Diceros bicornis minor: one gene and its partner. The protein of the gene in region 1 purifies or fractionates together with the protein of each later gene. This does not show direct contact. Links are inferred from orthologs where the notes say so. Each region holds a gene or a part of one and is shown on either strand. Other genes may lie near its edges. The genes, in order: TCEAL1 and KDM3A.

The links.
Region 2: the proteins of TCEAL1 (region 1) and KDM3A purify together in Homo sapiens (affinity purification with mass spectrometry; 3 studies listed by BioGRID and IntAct, counting the BioPlex papers as one, with this or other methods). This does not show direct contact. The link is inferred for Diceros bicornis minor from reciprocal best matches to the Homo sapiens genes TCEAL1 and KDM3A.

Annotation. Positions count from the first base shown.
Region 1 is NC_080781.1:96,663,335-96,675,216, forward strand, and holds TCEAL1 (transcription elongation factor A protein-like 1), read left to right. Parts: upstream 1-6,002; 5' UTR 6,003-6,179; intron 6,180-6,624; 5' UTR 6,625-6,689; intron 6,690-7,044; 5' UTR 7,045-7,056; coding exon 7,057-7,536; 3' UTR 7,537-8,163; downstream 8,164-11,882.
Region 2 is NC_080751.1:3,629,049-3,640,713, reverse strand, and holds the start of KDM3A (lysine-specific demethylase 3A), read left to right. Parts: upstream 1-5,761; 5' UTR 5,762-5,833; exon of another isoform or gene 5,834-5,931; intron 5,932-6,067; exon of another isoform or gene 6,068-6,091; intron 6,092-6,428; 5' UTR 6,429-6,458; coding exon 6,459-6,644; intron 6,645-11,665. UniProt on the Homo sapiens protein: Histone demethylase that specifically demethylates 'Lys-9' of histone H3, thereby playing a central role in histone code.

The DNA of each region.
Region 1 (11,882 bases):
TGCTGCACCATTTGCATATTGCATTCCCCATGCCCCATGAGCACAAAATTCCAGTGGACCCTTGATGCATGGGAGTTCAGCAAGACTCAAAGCAAGTAAATGGTAAGCATATTACTTCTGTGACTGAAGACAGCCAGGAGAGGCCACCCATTTGGTTCTATTCAGAACTTACTTCCAACACAGAATCACATTCTAAGAAACACAAGGGACAAAGAAACCCAATCATATCCTTTCTTACATGTGTTACTTCCTTGTGTTTGCCAACCACTTGTGTTGAAAATGATGACAAAGAAGGAAAGGGAAAGATAGAGCAACGCACAGTTCCCGTTCCTTTCAGTCCCTCTGTAAAATGGGCACATTTGCAAGTATCAAGAAGTCAAATACAAACAGCTGAGTTGGTTTTGTGTAGCATTTCCACTGTTCTGGTAAGAAGTAAACACATATGCACGTATGAGCTACAAAATATGAATTGTGCAATTTTGGTGATTCTGCATATGAGTCAAATGCTCTTGTATTTGCATTTAAAATGGCATTGTACAATATAAAGATGAACTATATAATTATGCTAATAATTTAAAATTTTAATTTTCCTCTACTTAGAACAAAATTAAATAACAAATAAAAAGCACCATGTCAAAGTCAACATCAATGGTCATAAATCATATTGATAACACGTAGCCTTGATATGATGTGTTGAAATGGCACTTTACCTCTGTGCTATTCCTCCCAAAAACCCATAACCCCAGGCTAACCAAGAGAAAAATACCAAACAAATCCCAATAGATGGGCATTCTACAAATACCTAACTAGTACTCAGAATTGTAAAGGTCATCAAAATCAGAGAAAGTCTGAGAAACTGTCACAGCCAAGAGGACCCTAAGGAGACATGACAACTAAAAGTAATGTGGTATTCTAGATGGGATCCAGGAGTAGAAAAAGGGCATTAGGTAAAGACAAAAGAAATTGGAATAAAATATAGACTTTAGTTAATGACAATGTATCAATATTGGTTCACTAATTATAACAAATACACCATACTAATGTAAGATGCTACTAGGTATGGAGTACATGAGAATTCTCTATAGTATCTTCTCAATTTCTCTAAACTAAATCTAAAACTGTTCTAAAAAATAAAGTCTATTAAAAAAAATAAGTTGAAAGACCACAGGAGAAAGAAAAGCTTTATATTTTAGTACTTTTAATGGCACTTTTTTTCTTGCTTTGTGAACAAGGGGCCTTGCATTGTCATTTTACACTGGGTCCTGCAAATTATGTAGCCTACCCTGCCTCTGTTCCAACCTCTGTCACCCAGACCTCAGACTGGGGTTGTTGTGGGCCCTTGTGAGAGTCCCTGAGGCCAAGAGTAAGGCTGTGAGTGTTGCAGCCCAGCAGGGAAGACCAGCACAGGTTCTGTGCTCTGGGCTCCTCTGGATTCCGGAAAAAGCAGCAGCAGCCACTGTCAGGAGAGGTCCCCACTCAGGCCAAACGGTGTTCCTCAGAGAAGCCCCTGTGAGCTGGGCAGCGTGGAGTCATAGCACCCTAGAGTTGGAGGGGACCTCATTCATTGCTCTTCCACTGCCCCTCCCCCCACCTTTTAGGGAGAAGAAGAAGGACACAAACAGAGGCAAGGAGAGGGGTAGAAGGCTCCCAGGCCTCCAGAGCCCTCCAGCGAGTGAGTGACAGCCTGAGTCCTGCCTAGCCCAGAGCCTGGGACTCTCTCCCTCTGGGCCAATGTTGGACCTGCCTTTCCTGTCCCTGAGTGTTTCCTAGCAGCCTGAGTTTCTACTCTACCTTTCCTCAGAGCCCCTTCCTTGTTTCTCTGGGCATGTACAGGATGTGTGTGTGTGTGTGTGTGTGTGTGTGTGTGTGTGTGTGTGTCTAGACCCAGTTAGTGTGAGGCCAGAAGCAGCAAAGAGAAGGCTCTTATCATTGCATTTCCCACTTGGCTATTTCCCCTGGGGTGGGGGCGGGGGAGCGGGAGAGGAGAGCCTGAGAGCCACAGGCTGGACAGGGCCTGCTGCAGCGCACAGCAGCAAGTCTTGAGACCAAAGTACTGCCATAGGTGTCATTAGGAAAGAATGCAGAGGCTGCAGAAGCAGCAGGGGAACCTCTGGGCTGGAGAGGGCAGACAGGCTCTGCAAAATGAAACCAGACCTCTATGGGGTCTGTGCTGTAGAGGGGCTCACAGGGAGGGGGCTCTGTTCTGCCACAGAAGTGCAGCCTCACGAGGGAACAGGAATCTCTGAACCAGAAACCCATCCTGGGCTTCCTCAGATCCCCCAGAGAAAGGCCTCGCCCCTGGAGGCTGTTGTCATAGCAGCAGCTGCCAGGGGCTGACTGCCTTCCCCCTTGCCCGCCTGGCTGCCCTGCCTGCCTTCTGATACTTTCAGCTCCCGCTACCTGAAAAGGCCTGTGCCGCACACCCCGGCTGCGTGTAAAGGTGTCTGGAGCCCACTGCCCAGGAGCAGTTTAACAAAGTGGTTTAAGGTTCAATCATTCATGTCCTACTGCCAGGGTTTAAATCCCATCTGGGCTACTTACTATCATCTGTTTCCATGGCAATAATTTGTCACCTCTCAGAGCCTTAGTTATCGCACCTTTAAAATGGAGTTCCTTAGGGCCGGCCCCGTGGCTTAGCGGTTAAGTGCGCGCACCGCTACTGGCGGCCCGGGTTCGGATCCTGGGCGCGCACCCACGCACCGCTTCTCCGGCCATGCTGAGGCCGCGTCCCGCATACAGCAACTAGAAGGATGTACAACTATGAATACAGCTGTCTACTGGGACTTTGGGGGAAAAAAAGGAGGAGGATTGGCAACAGATGTTAGCTCAGAGCCGGTCTTCCTCAGCAAAAAGAGGAGGATTAGCACAGATGTTAGCTCAGGGCTGATCTTCCTCACACGCACACACACACACACAAAAATGGAGTTCCTTAGACTTAAACTCTCACTAGCACTAGTGAGCCAAGCACCATTTAGGTCTTCACAGGACCCTAAATCAGCAGTATCAAATCATATCTATCAGAATTATTTCACGGCCCCCACCCAGAGCACACAGAGACAAATAGCAGACCACATTCCTTTGTAACATGGTGGTCACCATGGCAGAACCACCTTCACCTTATTCCTTCTTGAGAGCCCTTTCTTTCAAGGGAACCCCAAATCAAGGCAGAGACTTAGAGCCAATATGAAGACACAGTCTTCATTCCTCCTTTCCCGGTTCTAATCCTTAAATCTCCCTTGTCTGCCCCCCCAGTTTACCAAGTTCTCATCAAGGGTTAATTCATACTGGTTTGGCAGCTTTCAGGGGCAACTGTGTCTTCTATCAGCAGCACTAGAAAGTAATCCCACCCTCAGAAGTCCTACTGAGAGTGGAAAGGAGGAGAACTGGCCTGACAGGGCACACTCCCGGCTGGCACACCCAACAGGGAAAAGGAATTTTTTCATTTGGAGTCAGAGCTCTTTGCTGAGATCTCCTTTAGATCTTTCCTGAGTTTGCTGAATTTATTATCGTATTTAGTACTAATGGCGTGCTTTAAATTAATATTTTGTAGCTCATGTCCTGAATGACAGAATGAGGATTCAAAGAATGAGGGAATGAATCGAACAGGACAACATTTAATCCAGAAAAACAGAAGCTTCTGTACTTGTTTAAAATTAAAAAGATTTACACAAGTGCATTAACAGGGATGTATGAAAGAGATCTGGGGGTCTCAGTTGACTTCAACTTAAAGTGTGATATGGCATCCACAAAATCTAGTATGATCTTAGGATGCATCTATAGATGTATAGTGGCTATTCTAGAATGAGGGCTGTGATAAGATCACTCCATTCTACACTAGGCAGAATATTCAGTATTTTCAGAGACATTTACAAATTCAGAAGCATGTAGGATGGTGAGTGACTTTGAAAAAATATATCACCTCAGAAAGAGCTGAAATAACTGGGGAGATTAAACCTAAAAAAAAGTCTTGGTGAGAACATAATTGTTTAAGGATTAAATGAGATAGCATATTGAAAGTGCTTAGTGCAATGCCTGGCATAAGTACTCAATTAATGTTAATAACAAAAGAATGATAATTAGTAGTACTATTAGCACTAAGTCATTCTATTATTATTATTACTATTACTATAATTATAGTTAATGCTTATAGAGTGCTTTCTATGTGCTAGGCACTATTCCAGGTCCTTTACATATACTGACTTATTTATCCCTCTTACCAATCCTATGAGGGAGGTATTACTATATCTCCAATTTTGCAGATGAGGAAGTTGAGTCACAGAAAGGTCAAGTAGATTTCCCAGTGTGTCTCACAGATGGGAAGGGGAAAGAACCAGAACATTAACTCTGGCAGTGTCAGGCTATCAAGGGTAAAAGGCACTTTTGTTATAAAATACTTGTTTTGTACGACTCCAGAGGGCAGAACCAGGACCAATGTGTGTGAACTACTTGGAGGCAGATTTCAGCTCAACAAAAGAAAAAAACACTCTGAATGATTAGAACTGTCTGAAATTTCAATGAGATGTCTTTTAAGGTAGTGAGTTCTTCATCCCAGGATGTAAGGGAAAAAAGGATAGAAATGAATGAAATGGGGCTCCTCCTGGAAAGAAACCACACAAATGATGAAGCTAACCATCGGTGAAAAGGATAAAGAAGGTATAGTGAAACTTGGTTTAAAAGACACATCACTGAAAAATTGAAAAGTAAAACAGTTGTGGAAACGATATAAAAGTGAACTAATATCTGTCTTGCTGCTATCTCAACACAAAGTAAATTAGACGGAGAGAAGCGACACAAAGCTCTTAAAACAGGAAATTTCACACATGAATTTCTGTTTGGAAACTTACTAGACAGCTCGGGTTTGAAAAAAACAATCCCAGGATCCTCACAGATCTGATGGCCACCTACCCTGAAAGTGTAAACTACAGAGAGGTATAGTCTGATTTCTGGAGGAAAGGGCATCTACATGAGGAAGTAGCACCCAAGCTGATGCGAGTAGGTGAGAGGCATGCATGAGGCTGAAGATCATAAAACACCATTAGATCCAAAAATATATACTTGTAATGACAATTGAGTATGTGAGCATGATTTTAATCCTGCTACTCAGTGTGTGATTAACAGAATTATTGCATAGTTTAATAGGAATGTCCTCTGTGGTGAATCTATCTTTTTGCGTCCAGCAGTCCCAGGACCCAAATATTTGCTGATTTAATGAACTAATATAAACTTTCTCAACCAGCAACACCAGAGGTGGCTGGTTAAGGATTTAGAGTTCCAGCAAAATCTCTTTCTTCTATTACCAATAATAACTACTGAATATATGTATATACATACATATACACACACATAATAGTATGTATGTATATATGTGTATATATATACATAAATATATAATAATGCCACACTCTCCACTAAATATGCTCCCATTTCAGGTAAGTTTTCAGACTATTTGTACTTAGATGGACAAATGTGTATTTTGATTTATGAAAATCAAAGTGTTCAATCTTTTTAGATTTATATACTTTACAAACAACTTTTTCTAGAGTTCTAGAATTGAATGATTACCAACTTAGAATGGAGCTTCTATTCGTAATATAGGTCTGAAGGCTCAAAAAAAAAATAAAATCCTGAAGTCATGGAAAAGTGAAAGCTTATCTTTCATCAAAGTGACAAGAGATGAAAACCATGTTGATCGAGCCTAAGTGGACATGATGGAGTTATGAATGTGGATTAAAACTGGGAGAGGTGGTATATGATATTGATTCATTAATGAGAAATAGTCGAATTTCAGTGGAGGATCTGGACTGTAGAGGAAATAATGGGCCTTAGTGGCTGATGACAGGAGAATAAGGGAGAGGGTATCAGGCAAAGCGGCAGAGAGGAAGAGGCAATAAACCCCAAGACTAGACGCTGATCGTCTCTGGTAACCAGGAAAAGGCAAATATAAACAAAGAGAGGTGAGTGACGGTGCTTGGTGTGTTGGGGGTCAGGAAATACTGTCAGGTTGCTGCAGCACGGCCGCCGGTCAAAGCGGTAACTGGGGATCTGAGCTCGGCGGTGACGCGCGGCCCTCACGTGACCAGGAGCCTGTGTCTGCCCAAGTCTCTCTCGTCCTGGTCCTTTTTGCCTGTCCAGACAGCGTCTGCCTATTGCCCTTTGGTCGAGGGGAAAAGCACAACGAAGTAAGTCCCCTTGGTCCTCTTAAATCGGTGTGAGTGTCGGTGCCGCCCCGTAAACCCTGGAATCGGGATGGCAGCGTCCAGGCCTTTCCCTATGCCCAGCCCCGCCCCCCGCGCCCACAGTTCGGTGCAAAAAATGGTGGTTTAGAGGTGGGGTAGGGAGGTGAGTGAGCCCCCCCTCCCCGGGAGGGAGACACAGACACTTAGAAATAGTTTCTAAGCCATCTTTCGCTTCCACTTCCCGCCTGAAAAGAAATGACGAGCATTGCGGGGTGGAGGGGTAGGGGCACGGAGGACCAAGCTTGAGATGGGGCATCGGGGGGAGGGGAACTAGAAAGGGGCTGGCGTGGGGGCGGCGGCTGGTGCCCAGAAAAAGGGCGTGTGTGTCAGTCAGTCTTTCCCTCTTCTCCACTCCCCGCCCCCTACCCTGTCTTGCGTCTGTCTGCAGGTCTGCAGGTCGCAGCGGGGCACCTCGAGAGGACGCCTGGGAACAAACGGCCAGGAGAGGTCCAGGTCGGGGAAGGGGTGGGCAGTGGGCTAGGATGGAGTGAGAGGGAGGACGCTGATGGGCGCGGAGTCCGCGGCACCACCGCCCCGCCCCTGCCACTGCGGGAGAGGCCTGTGGCAAGGCTTGCTGGGAAAATGGTGGGCTTTCGGAAAGGAGGGGGCGACAAGGGCGGGGGGACGAGACGCGGCGGGGTCCCCAGGGCCAGAAAGCCTCTCAGCAAGCGTAGGTTGGAGGACCTGGGCCCCGAATCTGGAAAAGGCAGGTTATTGGAACCCATGGCCCGGGTTTTGGTCCAGCCATCAAGTATTCTGACTCGACTCTGCCTTTCTTGTCTCCTATGAATAACTGTGCTTAAAAAAGACGATTCTCAACATGGAAAAATCCTGCAAAGAGAATGAAGAACAGCCACAGAGCGCGCCCAAGGCAGATGAGGAGCGGCCTCCTGTGGAGCACTCTCCTGAAAAGCACTCCCCGGAGGAACCCTCTTCGGAGGAGCAATCCTCGGAGGAGGAGTTTTTTCCCGAGGAACTCCTTCCTGAGCTCCTTCCTGAGATGCTCGTGTCCGAGGAGCGCCCTCCGCAGGAGGGCCTGTCTAGGAAGGACCTTTTTGAGGAGCGCCCTCCCATGGAGCAGCCTCCTTGTGGAGTGGGAAAACATAAGCTAGAAGAAGGAAGCTTTAAAGAAAGGCTGGCTCGCTCTCGCCCGCAATTTAGAGGAGACATACATGGCAGAAATTTAAGCAACGAGGAGATGATAAAGGTAGCAGAGGAGATGGAAGAGATGAAAAGAGTACGCAACAAATTGATGATCATGCACTGGAAGGCAAGACGGAACCGTCCTTATCCCATTTAATGTGTTCAGCGTTTAATTCTGTTTTGCCTGATATAAGTATTGCCACCTGAACTTTGCATTTTTCTCATATACCTTTCCCCATCTTCTTAATTTTAACTTTTTATGTGGCTTTATTTTAGGTGTTTCGCTTGTAACTGGCATAAAATTGGGTTGCCCCCCCCAATGTGCAAGTCCCTCTCTTTCAGTCCTGAGTCTCACCCATTTGCATGAAAAGATGTACATTATATATTGTGAAGTGAAAAAAAGCAATTTTCAAGAAGTATATGTAGTATCCCAGTTTTGTAAAAAAAATGTATATTTATATATTAATATGCAAAGAAAAAACTGAAAGTATATACTTCAAAGGCTTAACAGTGACTGTGTGGTAAGATAATAGGTGATTTTTTTGGTTTTCCATTTTTGCTTTATAGGAATTTCTCATTTTTTCAACACGAACACATTTTACTTGTGTTGCAAAAAAATCCCAATATAATGAAAAATTGTAAAACAATTTAAAAAACTGTCAATCAGCTTATAAAGACAATGTGGCACTTAATAAATACTTGTCAGAACTTAAAAAAAGAAAAGTAAATCCCATGTTTCTTCTGAATCTCTTATGCCGAAATATAAACCAGGTACTTATATTTGTTTAAAGGTCATTCTTTTCCCGTTTACATAGGAATAATACTTGGCTTACAAGGCTGCTGTGGAACCAAATGAGGTAAAGATTGCATGAGCTGTGTGTTTCTTTCCCCCACCCGCACATGCAGGACCCCAGCCCCTATAGATTCCCTTCAAATACACAGAGTAGTACCCAAAGGAGATCTCACTTGTGCTCACAAATAATTCCTGTGAGATTCCAGGTGAGTGCCACATTCTATTTCTGTCCTCCTATTCTCTTCCCTTGGATACAATCATGTCTGCTGGGCACAGCTGTTCCTTCTCCTGGGTTCTGCTCCTTCCGTGGTCCAAAGTGCCAGCGCAAAGCCTCACTGATTGCTCTGGAGTCCCTGCCGGGCCAAAGCTGAACTGTGTCTCCTACTGATATATGGAGAATGCACCTTCTCCAGCTTTAATATTAACACTTCTCCAGGTGGATGCCATCCCAGTGTTCCTTAAACCTCCATGTCTTAAAGAATTCTTAGCAAAATAGTCCTTCCCATTTTTTTTTTCTGAAAGCTTCCCTTTTCTCCACTGGAATCAAACATAAGTTCACTGGGTCCTGGGCTAGAAGAGAAATTGGTGAGCCAGACACAATGCTGTGTACTCAGAATTGGAATCTCCCTCCCAAATAATCTCCAAGGGTTTTTGTTGTCTAACACTTGCCGTAGGATGAGTTCCCTCCCAGGGGCCTCTGGCAGGCTTGCCTTACCAGTTCAGCTGATTTGCTCAATTTGTATAAATTAAAGAGGAAAGTAAGACTTAGGCTCAAGCTAGGACATTTCCCTTCTGCCCCACCCCACATCAACAAGAAACATGCAAAAATACTTCGTAAGACATTAAAGTACTTAAAGTCATTAAAGTATATGTATATGCATATACATATATATGTGTGTATGTGTATCAGATGTTATGATTTCTCTTTCTCTATCCTTATAAAACCTAAGATTTTGTTTTATTGATCCTGTTTATTGATTTTTTTATTGATCTGGTTAATTCTAGAAACACAAATAGTTGTTAACAATTTTTTAAAATTATGACCCAGTCATAAACCCTGAGTTTCTGTTTGATTGGCTATGTAAACTTCAGTAAGTGTGTTCACTTCTCTAGAAAGTATGATTTGCAATTCCAAAAGGATCACAGTCAGGGGAGGGATTGTTTCTCCAAATTCAACATTAAAATTATTTAAATATTTTATATATCAATGTTTCTCTTATCAAATATGCAGAGACCTGGGTGCTACCCCAGACCTACTAAATCTGCTTTTCTGTAAATTAGGACACAAGTTAGACAGCCACTGCTATATACAATGTACTCTTGGTTTTATTTTATTTATTTATTTATTTATTTATTTTTGTGAGGAAGATCAGCCCTGAGCTAACATCCATGCTAATCCTCCTCTTTTTGCTGAGGAAGACTGGCCCTGGGCTAACATCTATTGCCAATCCTCCTCCTTTTTTTTTTTTTTTTTCCCCCAAAGCCCCAGTAGATAGTTGTATGTCATAGTTGCACATCCTTCTAGTTGCTGTATGTGGGACGTGGCCTCAGCGTGGTGGGAGAAGCGGTGCGTTGGTGCACGCCCGGGATCCGAACCCGGGCCACCAGTAGCGGAGCATGCACACTTAACCGCTAAGCCATGGGGCCGGCCCAACTCTTGGTTTTAGTAAGAATAAACTGTGACATAAATAGAAGAAAATATAGATGAGTGTATCAGAATTAAAAGGGTGAAAGCCTTTTCCAAGCATATGTTTTGTGTGTGAGTGAGGAAGATTAGCAATGAGCTAACATTTGTTGCCAATCCTCCTCTTTTTGTTGAGGAAGATTAGCCCTGGGCTAGCATCCGCGCCATCTTCCTCTACTTTATATGTGGGACGCCTGCCACAGCATGGCTTGATAAACAGTGCGTAGGTCCATGCCCGGGGTTCTGAACCTGCAAAACCCAGGCTGCTGAAGCGGAGCGGGCGATCTTAACGACTATGACACCAGACCGCCTCCCCAAGCATATTTTTAAGTAAGAAATTAAAAACAAACTCTTCAATTTTACTACATAAAATTTAGATTTTTTGCAACAAGGCAAGACCATACACAGAATAAAAGGCTAAGAGAGATGACAAAATAGCAAGAAGTATTTTCCATGATTAACGTTATGTAATGCCTGGCATTGCTTCCTTCCAATATGATTAAAAGGCATCGGAAATAAATTCAAAGTTCTCCTTTAGTAATCAGCTCACAAAATTGTAAGCCAACTCTATGCCCTTGACTTTGTTTTTGTTTTAATTTTTTCACTATATGATGCCATCTGGGGGGATCCTCACATCTCCAGACCAGTCTTCAAGGTTATGGCAGCCTGATGGATGCTGGTCAGGCTGGATTCCAGCTGGAGTGAGATGAGGGACCAGGGGCTCACTGTGGCAGTTTTACAAGGCAGGATGAATCCAGCCCCCTGGCGCTCTGAGGGGTGGCACTGGGGCAGGATGTGGAAGGGCTCACCCAAGCCACACTCCTCTCCAGGGTGGTCTGACTTTGGTTTCTCTGCTCCAGCCTGCAGCAGGCACAAGACCCTCCTACGCTGATGGTCGGGCTGTCCTGACAGGCTTACCTGGAGGACGACGACTGTCTCCATCACAGGTCAGAGCACTTTGCCTTTCCCTCCTTTTCCCTTTCGCATTTGGGGAATCTTTTGTAAGGGAGGAGATAAAGCCCCAAGGATTCCTAACTGGAAACATTGGTTGGGATAGTCTTTGAGCAAGCAGATATCTGACCTGGGTCTGACCAGGTAAATGGGGCTGAAGCAGAAGGGGCTAGCCCTTCTCTCAGAGTCCAGTGAGGTAGGCACACAAAATGGGGTTAAACCTCAGACAAGACCTTACCTTCCCTCTCCCACCCACCTTTCTCAGACTCCCAGAAGGACCTCGGATGTGCCACAACCTGTTTGGGTGGTTTTGCGGTGACTTTAGCTCTGTGTGTACGTGGTGCAGTGCTTCTGCTGTCTGTGTCAGCCCAGGCCCAGAGACACAGGAGACCCCAGGGAAAGGGTGCTTGCAAAGGCATGTGGTCCTACACTCAGGAGAAAAGGGGTTTCACCTCCTGTGTGAACATCCCTATGCACTGCAGGCCCAATCCACGACTTGGGGGCCAGGAAAGTCAAGCTGTGAATTGATGTGAAGATGCTTTTGAAGGCATTGATGGTGGAGGGTCAGCAGGATCCAGAGCCTGGTTCTCTGGGCCCCTCACCACCTCCCTGCCAGGCAGAAGGCTGGTATCTCAATCACATGTCCAAGAAGTGACTCGTCTGGCCAACTCCAGAGCAGAATGCATTGAGGTTCCAGGACCTTGGAGAGAGAGCCCTCTGCTGATCAGGATGCCCTGGCTCTGAGGAGACAGAGCATGAGAATGGGAGGCCTTGTGCTGAGGCAGCGCAGAGGGATCAGGTTCAAGGTCCTTGCAAAATGCCCAGAGACTCCTCTTTCTCTCATTCAGAAATACTAATCTAAAGTCAATTACTTTTACAAATGAAGAATAAGATTATACAAATAAATAAGAGGTAGATCTTGTGTTCTAATTCAGATTTGTCTGAATCAAATTCTATATTCTCCCCACTCTACCACACTGCCTCCAATTTAGATTGTAGCTTTCCAGGACTTAGGGGGCTTAGGGAATAATTGACTTAGACTTGCTAAGTATGGTATCCCTGTTGGTTTGTACAT
Region 2 (11,665 bases), on another chromosome or scaffold:
GCTGTTCTTAAAAATGAAAAAGAAAAACAGCTTGATGTTGTATACACATTTTCTTTTTCTTGATCAAATTGCCCACATGGAAACATGTAATGCAACTGAGTGGAATATATATCCAAGTCTTGGCTTAGTGTTATCAATGGGCAGAATTGCACAATGAACATTATCAGATTATTCCTTTTATTGGTCCTTATGCCATCTAAATTACTGAATAAATTGTTAATCCATTTTAAAAAGTTCATTACACTGAAGGGAAATTATATTGGATAGGAATATGGCTTTGCAGGAAGGAATGAAGAATAGCAGAAAGAGTTTAAATGTTGAAAAATATAAAGGCAGAGCAAATAAAACAGAAATCAAAGACTAAGATAGTAGACTTAAACATATTCATAATTATATTATTCATAATAGCCAAGGACTGAAAATAGTTCAGGCATCCATTAATGGAGCATGGATATACAAACTATGGCATATTCAGACAATGAAATACTACCTAGCAATGAAAGGGAATAAACATCTTACAGATGTAATCACATGGATGAATCTCGAAAACATGCTCAGTAAAGGAAGCTAGACACAAGAGAAGTACATACTGTATTACGTCATTTAAATAAAATTCAAGAACAGGCAAAACCAATTTATGGTGATAGAAATCACCATAAAAGGTTACTCTGGGCAGGGGTAACTACTAGAAAAAAGCACTTAAGAACATTTAGGGGTGATGGAATGTTCTCTATCAGGGTTTGACAAACCTTTTCTGTAAGGGGAGGGAGAGTAAATATTTTAGCCCTCAAGGGTCCCACAGTCTCTTCAACTACTCAACTTTACCATTGTAGTGTGAAATTAGCCCTAGATAAAACATAAACAAATGGGTGTGGCTGTGTTCTAATTTTATTTATAGACACTGAAATTTGAATTTTGTATAATTTTTATGGTCACAAAGTATTATTATTATTCTAGAGGTTTTTTTTTAACATTAAAAAATGTAGGGGCTGGCCCGCTGGCAGAGCAGTTAAGTTCACGCGTTCTGCTTTAGCAGCCCTGGGTTTGCCCATTAGGATCCTGGGCATGGACCTACTCACCACTCATCAAACCATGCTGAGGCAGTGTCCCACGCTGAAAAACTCGAAGCACCTACAACTAGGATATACAACTATGTACTGGGGCTTTAGGGAGAAAAAAGAAAAGAGAAAGACTGGCAACAGATGTTAGCGCAGGGCCAACCTTCCTCAAAAAAAAAAAAAAAAAAAGATGCTGCTTGCAGAGTGGCATCCACTCCTCTAAAAAAAAAAAAAAAAAGTAAAAACCATTCTTCACAGGCTGTAGAAAATTAGCCAGTGGGCCAGATTTGGCCTGTGGGCCGTAGTTGGCTGACCCTTCTTCTATATCTTGATAGGGTTGCGGGTTATATGGATGTATGCCTTTGTAAAGCTCATGAAACTGTTCATGTAAGATCTGTGCATTTCTCTGGATGTAAATTATTCCTCAACAGAAAAAGTCTTAAAAAAAAAAACAGGCAAGAAGCTTAGCACTGATGCTCTGCTTGCCTCATTAATTGTCACAGGTGCACTGCATTAACAGAAATAGCACAAGACATTTAAATTTTCACACATAACACCATTCTTGTGTTGTTTAATGAAAGCAGTTTTAGACAGAAAATATTGTATTCTAATTATTTTGCAGTTGAGGAATCAAGATCCAAACAGATTCCAAATTTCTAGTTGCTAACTTTCTTAAACGTTTTTGGGAACTTCTGTTGTTCCTTGAGGGGGACAACTCAAGTCAACTCAGCTAGTTAGTGGCAGGATTTTGACTGGAATGTGTATGCTGGGGCTTACGTAATAGTTTTTACTAACGAGAGGTGATTTCTGGCAAAACCTCCAAGCTAAAATATATTGGTTGGAAGTGTTGATATATTGCTGCTCAGTCCTTCAATTGCCTTGACCTCAATGTCTCCTTTGGCCTCTCTGAATGGTCCTCCAAGTTGAAATTCTCTCCTGCCTTGTTTCCAGGATGCAATCCTCCTAGTTCTCCTCCTGCTTCTAAGACCTTTCTTGGTCTTTTCAGTGTCCTTTGACAGTTCCTGCACGAATGCTCTCCTCACCCTCCTCGAGCACTGACATCCCATGCCAAACCACGCTCCTGCATGAACACTCTCCTCACCCTCCTCAGGCTCAGATACACTGTGCCAGGCTTTTCCCCCACGTGAGCAGTCTCTTCCTCCTGTCTGGACTTGAACATACCACACTAGGCTGCCTCCATTCACAGATGCCATCCTCATCTCACAGGGGATCTAGATATCCCATGCTGGGTTGGCTTTCTGTGTCAACAGAAGGCCACTTGGTCTTTAACTCCCCATGCAAGGCCACTACTCCTTACTTTTTTGAGCTCAAAAATTCCATGCCAGGCAGCCTCTGCTTATGAAAACCTACCTTGCTCTGCGCTCCTAATGGCTTTAGGACTAAAATGTTCTGGAAGAGGAAAGGAAAGAGGAGGAAGGAAAAGGGAAGGAATCTTAAAATATTTTACTAGATTTTTATATTTAGCTCTTTGATCCACCTGGAACCTATTTTTGTGAATATTGATGTAGGGATTTGACTTTGTTATTTTTTCTTAATGGATAACCAATAGACCACAAAGCATATATTGAATAGTTTATTATCTACACTCATTTGAAATGGTGCATTAATCATAAACTAATTTTTCATATATACGTGGGTCTGTTTCTGAATTCTCTTAACTTTTTACATATTTCTATTTTGATTCTTTCATTCATTGAAACTTTAGGTTAATTTGAGGAGAAATGACATCTTTACTTTATCAAGTTGTATAAGGAGATGGAATTTTTCGAATCTTCTTTTATGCATGTCAGTAAAGCCTTATAGTTTTCTTCAAATAGGTTTTGTTTATTTCGTGTTATGTTTTTTCTTAGATATTCTGTAGTTTTCATGATCATAATGGTTTCTTTTTTTATATGTTCTAATTGATGCTTGTTACAGAATAGGAATTCTTTTGAGTTTTGTTTGTTGATCTTTTACTGCACCAACTTCTTGACTCTTGTATTAGTTCTAATAAGTTGTCATTAATGCTCTTGAGTGTTAATGTAGTAGATTCCACTTACAGGATTTTAAAACTAACTTTAAATTTCAAAAGTTACATATGAATACATTTGCCTTATAAAAATGAGAGAATTACAAATAATACTAAATCCCCTTTGACCAATTCCCCCAGTTCTAGTGAGCACCCCAAACACCACTAACCATCATTACAAGTTTTAATATATATATTTCATAGAACATATACAGCATTACTTTTGCATGTGTATTTTTTGTGTGTGTGTGTGAGGAAGATTGGCCCTGAGTTAACATCTGCCAATCCTCCTCTTTTTGCTGCGGACGACTGGCCCTGGGCTAACCTCCATACCCGTCTTCTTCCACTTGATATGGGACACTGCCACAGCATGGCTCAACAAGCGGTGTGTCAGTGCGCGCCCGGGATCTGAACCTGCAAACCCCAGGCCACCACAGCAGAGCACACGCACTCAACCGCTTGTGCCACCGGGCGGCCCCTGTGTGTGTATTTTTAAATAGTACCAAATGCCGCTTTCTTTTTCATTCAAAATATTTTGCTCAATAAACATCGCGATTAATTCAACTATTCAATATTCAAACATTCAAACTATTCTATACTGCTGGATTTAATTTGTTGGTATTTTATATAAGAATTTTACATCTATATTCACACATGTGATTGAACTATAGTTGTCCTTTCTTGTATTTTCCTGGTTCATATTTGATAACAGGGTTTTTCAAGTTTTATAAAATGCATCAGATCTCTTTCCCATCTTTCTTAAGTTCTGGAACCATTAATATAACATACAAATTAAATATTCTTTAAAGTTTGGTAGAACTTGTCCCTCATGGTTGTCTTTCAAAATAATAGTTAATTATGTAATCTAAGTTCTCCATACCCTCACTTATTTTAAAAATCTATCTGAGGTGCCTATTTCTGAGATAGATGTATTTGTATCTTCTACTCTGACTACAAACTGTCAAAATTTTTTGTAGTTCTTATAGTTTAGTCTTAGCTTAGGCTAGGCTATGTATCCAGAGTCCTAATAGTTCAAGAGTCTATATTATCTTTATGGACTTTATCCTTTATTATTATAAAATCCTTTTCTCTTTTGATGCTTTTGCTTTCAATTATGTTAATTTTGCTATATTGCATTCCTTCAATTACCATTTGATTAGTAAATCTTTTAACCCAATATTTTCAAGCTTCCTGTGTTGCTGTTGGAGTTCACTTGTGGTTAATTTATAGCCAGATTTTGTTTTTAATCCAATGTGTCTTTTCAATTTATGAGTAAAATTAACCCATTTATATTTATTGTAAATACTCATGTTTGGACTTACTCTTCTTATTTTAATTTTTCTATTTACCATACTTCTGTCTAGTTTTTCTTGTTCCTATTTCTGACTTTTGTTTGATTGGAGAGGTTCTCTTTGTTCCATTTCCCCCCTTTTTAATCGTCTGCAAATTATAAATTCAATTTAATTCTTTAGTATTTATTCTTAAAAATTTATTTAATATCACATATTCAAAACATATATTTTTAAAATCAACACCTGGAGTTAACTTGCATCTATAATCCCTTGAATAGTTTCTAAACTTTTTCTGATGCTGTTTTCACACTTGTAAAATTGGGAGCATAAATTCTTCTATCATTATCTTAAAGATTAAATGTGATGCCATGTCAACCACAAGCCTTTATAAAGTAAGAGGTCTTCAATTCCTTCATTCCATTTCTTCTTCATTCAACCAAGAAACTTCACCTCCCAAGCAATCACCTCTTATCTCCTTTGTCCTTCAAAGTTACCTCCTCTTTCATATTTCTTGCATCCTTATGGCCTTCCTCTAATCTTTCAATTTCTTTGTGTCTCAGAATATCTTCTCATCCTCCCTTTACATTAAAAAAAATCCCATTCTGCATTGTACTGTGCGGCCTCTTTTGCTCTAGATTTAATGAACGTCATTTCCCAAAGACCCCATGCCTTTCTTCATTTTTCCTTCAAAATGGCGGACTTCAGACGTTCCATGACCAACACCACGTGCGCCTGCGCCTCCCGCGGCCATTTCACCCAGCAGCCCAAGCTCCAGCCTCTGCTCCGCGAGGCGCCTGCGCACGAGCCTCCAGAGCACTGTCGCTCCTCCCTCTAGCTGAGTACGCTCGAAACCGCACGTTCCCGTCCCTTCCCTCCCCCACCGACTCTGCGCCGCTCTCACCCCTTTCCTGTGAGATTCTTCCGCCAAGTGGAAGGCCCATCTTCGGTCGACAGCCTACGCACTTGAAGAGCAATCCAATAGGCACTTCCAGCCCTGGGGTTCGCCATTCAGTCTTATCTGTGCACCACTGCAATTTTCCTCTGGGGCCTAAAGTTGATAACCAATTTCGCGGGACTTTTTTGCATACCGTGAGGCAACAAACGGAAAGAATGGCTGTGGCGGAGGGATATCTCGCTTACGCTCTGTGTACTTTAACCTAATGGGGGTCGTCCGGGAGTCGGAAGGGGGAGGGGAAAGGGAGGAGGCAGCCAAGGAATTGTTTTTTTCTCTCGCCCCGCCCTCGCCAGGCAGGCCAATGGCGATGGGCTATTTCGCCACGAGCCTCGCCCAGCTCTTCGGAATCAGCCAATGAGCGGCGGAAGCGGCTCCGAGGGGGCGGGCCCGGGAGGCTGTGCGTGTCTTGTGAGAGCTCTTGAACCAAGTCAGAGCTAGAGTCGGCTGGGCGGCTGAAAACGGCGGCCGCCGCGGGTGACTCAGGGAGGCGGGAGGCGGGGTAAGAGCGCCGCGGCCTCGGCTGAGGGGAGAGGAGGAAGAAAGGTGAAGGCGCCGAACCCGCGGCCCCGGCGCCCCCGCGTCGCGGCGCAGGCCAGGGCGAGGGGCGCCCGGGGGTCGGCAGCCGGGAAGCGGGGTGTCGGGGCGCGGCGGCGGGGCAAGTGCGGAACCGCGGGCTCGCCCCTCCCGTGGGGCCGCCCGGGGCGGGGACCCGGCCGCCTGGGACGGGCCCTCCACATCGGGCCTTTTCTTTTCCGGGGTGAGGGGCGAACACTTTAAAATCCACTGAAGCCTCAGTAATTCTCCCCTCACTCCTTCTGCGATTAGGTTTAAGGTGTTGGAAAAGCGAAACTTGGGAGAGCGAGGGTCACGCGGCGCTTGGGCCCGTGTTTGCGGTGGGGGAGGGATCGGGGGGCGGGGAGGGCGCGGGTGGAGAGCTCGGGTGCGGGGTCCTCCCTCGCACCGGCTGCCGCTTGGGGGTCTCGTCCTCGGAGCAAGGTTAGGACCCCTCCCTCCGCCCCCGCCTCCCCTGTCCTCCCTTCCCGGCCCCCTCCCACCGGCCGCCACGGTTGCATTTTGTTTTTGTGTTTTTGCAGGGAGGAGCCCTTCCTGCAGGCGTGGAAACCATGGTGCTCACGCTCGGAGAAAGTTGGCCAGTATTGGTGGGCAAGCGATTCCTCAGTCTGTCCGCATCCGACGGCAGCGACGGCGGCCACGACAGCTGGGACGTGGAGCGCGTCGCCGAGTGGCCCTGGCTCTCCGGGACCATCCGAGCCGTCTCCCACCCCGACGTTACCAAGAAGGATCTGAAGGTAAGACTGGCTCCCGGGCCTCGGCGGTCGGACGTCTGGTAGTTACCTTGGTAACGAGACAGCCAGCACCCCCCTCCCCTTTTCTGAAAAGGGCAACCAGAAAGTTGGCATCTGATCTGAAGGTGCAGAGAACTAGACCTTGAAAGTCTTTGAAATGGTTGTGTAGAACCGAGGTGTGCTTGGCCTGGAGTTGCCTGTGTTTGATAATGGGCTTAGAGTTGTTCAGACACGCTTCGTTATTGCCCGCGATGTGCCCTACTAGGGCTGTATGATTATTTCTCCGAAGGAGTATTGTTAACATGAAGTTGGACAAGTGGGTGACGTTTGGAATCATTAAGAATTGAGGACTAGCACTTGGAAGGGCTTTCAGTTGGTTTTTTTGTGTGTTCCTTTTGATTTCTGCACCCAACTTCTTAAACTTTCAGGCTTGTTAGAAATGAAGTGTGAGTGTAGAGGGAGGAGCTTAGCTCTGTTCGGCATATTAGGGTGGGTATTTGTCCGTATATGGTAGGTCGGGGCAGGAGTGGGTTCCTGGTTGTCTATGATGAGTCTATGGGTGGGTGTGGGATATGACCATATATGGAGGGATGGGGCGGAGGGAAGGGGCGAAGCTGCCCCTTATATGGTGTGTTGGAGGAATGGCTTCGAAATATTCTACTTGGGTGTTTGGGGGGAGGGAGAGAAATGGGAACAAGTGCGGCCAGTGATTTTTAATCAGAATGACACTCAGAACCTTTTTCAGTTAGATCTTTTCAAAAAGAGATGAATTCTTATTGTATTCCCTAATAGAAGTATTGGTGTGAAAGGATTGTGTGAGAACAACCAGTGAGGAAGCCATTGTACCAACAAAGACTCCTTTGTGCAAAAATAACTGAATAAAGGTCCCTAACAAAGACTTTGAAGGGATGATAACTTGAAGAAAGCTTGTCAGAATAGAAGAGATTTCCACTCTGGGTAATAGACGCGTTTCAGTGTCTTCACTTGGCCATTGTCTTTGCTTTTTCTTGAAAACTGTGCTCAAATAAGGGAAACAAGTTTTAGCGTTGGCAGTTGAATATGTGTTGATTTCTGAAACACTGTTCATTTGAATACTTTCAGGGTGACGATGCATGCCCAAACCAGTATTAGTTTGCAAAACGTTGTGGGGAAAGGATGTATGGTTATATATTTGTAAAGCTTCCAGTGTGCCTTGTCTTCATGTTGAAAAGGAGTGACTATTGAGCACTTAACCACATGCCAGGCATGCTGAGCACTTCACAGCCATGATCTTATTTAATTCTCACAGCAGTTCTTTGGGAGTAGGTACTAATGTTGCCCCATTTTATAGTCAGAAATACTGTGGCTGGGGGAGGTTAAGTATCTTTCCTAAGATCACATATCTGGGAATTGGCATAGTCTGTGTTCTAACCCAGGCAGTTTTGACTCCTGAGCCCACCCTCTTAACCATCATGCTCCCTGATCAAGGGCTGTGCCACAAAAGGACTCTTGTCATACACTGTGAGGTTTGGTTTTTCTCCTCTGTTTCACTCCTCCTAGCGAAAACTGGGTTTTGATGTTTATAGAAAGTAGTGTGGTGCAGAGATGGCCAACCTATTTCCTTTAGGCTAATAACTTTTCTCCATAAAATGGGATTTGTGTAGTAGATTTCAGTCATAGTTGTTGTGGTTTATTTCACCTGCCAACTAAAATTTTCTCTATTGTATTTGTTTTTTATCTGATTTGAATGGAAACAAGATTTGATTTAAGCTTTACAGTCTTTAGTTCTTTGGCAGATGATGAGAGACTAGATGTTCCCTTACCCAGCAGTAATTGAGGACCTCTTGAGTTGGGAAGGCAATCTAGGAGGTCATTCATGTGTATTTTTAATCTCCACATCTCCCCCACCCCCAACCTTTGGGGTGGTGGTATCTGTCTTTTCTGAATGAAGAAATAGACTTAGGAAAAGAAGTCTTGTCCAGACTTGCAGAATTACCTACTGATGAAAGGAGGATTTGAATCTAGGTTTGGCTATGTGTCTTTCCCACTGCACTAAGGTGCCTAACTTGGAGACAATGGGGAATTTTAATTCAAGAACAGTTTTGACTGTATTGGATTTTTGCTTTACCTGCGGACGTCACAATTCAGCCCTCATGTCAGGTGCAAATCTACTCAGTTTCTTTTTTCTAATCATGATTTATTGCTGCATTCCTTAGTTGAGTAGCAAAAGGAGGAATTGGCTTAAGTTTAGGGGCATGTTGTGTTAGCAAAAACATAGAATTTTAAAACACCAGAAACAAATTGTGCTTGGTGAGATGCAGATGGGAACTAAGACCACAGTCGTACACCTGGGCTTAGGGGTATTGAGGTTTTGGGGGTGGGGTGGGACTGGTAGCTGAGATGAATATGAATGAATAAAATTCAAGTAGTGTGCAGCTGTTTTAGTATTAGTAGAAGTACAAGTCTGTCTAGACTGATTTGCTTAGTTAGTTGAGGATGATGTTAATGAGGCCAAGGCTTAACTTTGTTTCACGTAGAGAAAGACTTTGTAACAAAGTCAGTTACTCAGATACAGTATGTCTAGTAGTTGATTACAAAGAAGTTAGGGTGAAGACATAATAATGATTAAATGCTTATTATGTGGCAAATATTTTCTTTAATCCTCACAAATATCCTAGATGATAAACCACATTTTTTAGTGTTAGAAATTGAGGCTTAAAGAAGTTAAATAACTTGCCCAAGTTTGTCTCTAGACCTTAAACACTAGGCTTTAACATTCAGGTAGAGTGAGGTTAGAACACTATATTTTGCTGGACTCTGTATCTCCAGCACCCAGAACACTGTTTGGCATGTAGTGCTTGCTAAAATATTTGAATGAATAAATGAAGGAATCATAAAATTATTACCTCTACACTGAAAAGCAGTTTAGAAATAATCTACCAATGGAGCAGTGGTATTCTCTTTAACTGGAATAACAACAGATCTTAATTAGGTGTGGTTATAACGACCTCTTTAACCTTATTTTTATCCTACTCTTTAAACTTGAGTGTGAGGCAAGTTGCTTCCTAACTAGCTTTGTTTGTGATGCCTGCTGGGAATGCCTTCCTTCCCCAACTTGGCTGTCGGGATCTTTCCCTTCTTTTGAACCTACCTTTTCCTTGAGTCTTCTGCCCCTTCTTAGTCCCTAGGGATGTCCTTAGCAGAAGAGTAGTACTTGCCACCTATATGTTCCATTTCCTGCTATTAAAGCCTTTTCTGGTAGTTAGGTTCCTTTACCAATGCCTAGCCTTTCATCCTTGCATACAGTTGGAACTTTGGTGAGTTGGAATGTTAGTGAATTCTGCTGCCAGTCAAACTATGTAAAATGAGAAACTCCTAGCACAATGTAATAAAAACTATTTACTCCCTATAATTGAATGGTAGACTCTGGGATTTTAGACAGCATTTTATTTAGATGTAAGAAGACATAAGTAGAAGCATAATGAATTAATTTCCTCATTTGTGGAGTAGTGAAATAAGTGGTATTCTTTGTTATAGTGCTGGGCATAGAATAGATATGTCGTTAAAAACTTCTTGACTGGAGGTTGGCCAGGTGGCGTAGTGGGTAAGTTTGCGCACTCTGCTTTGGCGGCCCAGGGTTCGCTGTTCGGATCCCCGGGTGCGGACCTACATGTTGCTTATCAAGCCATGCTGTGTGGCTTCCCATATACAAAATAGAGGAAGATGTGCACAGATGTTAGGTCAGGTACAATTTTCCTCAAGCAAGAAGAGGAAGATTGGCAACAGATGTTGGCTGGGGGCCAATCCTCCTCAACAAAAAGGGGGAAAAAAAAAACGAACTACTTGACTAAGCACCATGCTATCTGTAAGTGTTTACTTGTAAACTTAGAAACACTTTACTTGGCATTTCTGATGGTTTTCATAATCATTTACGCAGGTGAGATTAGTGTGTGCTAAGAGTGAGTAGGAGGAGGCCAGCCTGGTGGCCCAAGCGGTTAAGTGCACGCACTCCACTGCAGCTGACCTGGGGGTTCGCTGGTTCGGATCCCGGGCACGCACTGATGCACCGCTTGGCAAGCCATGCTGTGGCGGCATCCCATATAAAGTGGAGGAAGATGGGCACGGATGTTAGCCCAGGGCCAGTCTTCCTCAGCAAAAAAAAAACAGGAGGATTGGCAGATGTTAGCACAGGGCTGATCTCACAAAAAAAAAAAAAAAAAAATAGTGGGAGCTTTTGAGATTAGTTTGATTAGATATAATACTAATTCATATATCTAAAGAGATTTTCTGTTGGGGAGAAATTAGCTTGAAATAATTAATTTGAAATATCCAGCATCTGGTCAAGATATTTGATAGGCTAATAAGGTATACATTTACAAGATGCCCTATTAAAAGAATAGCAAATTTGGAAATTATAGGTAGTGAATCATACTTAATAGGCCTCTCTTTGGCCTTTGGAGTCAGACAGCATAAATAGCATTTCCTTTGTGGACCATGGGAGCATGTGGGAAAGAACACAATTTGGAATGAGAACTACAGTTATGTGTCACTTAACAACAGGAATACACTCTGAGAAATGCATTGTTAGGCGATTTCGCCCTTGGGCAAACATCATAGAGTGTACTTACACAAACCTGGATAGTATAGCCTACTACACACCTAGGCTATAATGTATTAATCTTATGGGACCACCATCGTATATGCGGTACGTCGTTGACTGAAATGTCTTTTATGCAGCACATAACTGTGGTTATATCTATCAGCTTCTAGGAGCTTGGTCAAGTCACTTTAGTTTCCCCTGAATTTTAATTCTTATTGGTATGTCTTTGTATAGAAGTTTCTGCAGAAGAGGTTTTTTTGGGGGAGAGGGGTGTCCTTGTATATAGAACCTCAGATTTCAAGTTACAATTGAAAGACATATGTGATTTTGATAGGAAACTTTTGAAAGAATGTTGAAGAAAACTCACAACTTGTGGGTTTCATTATATTTTTTTGAAAAGTCATCTTTTCAAACCAAAGTTAATGTGGATTTTTGACCAACACAA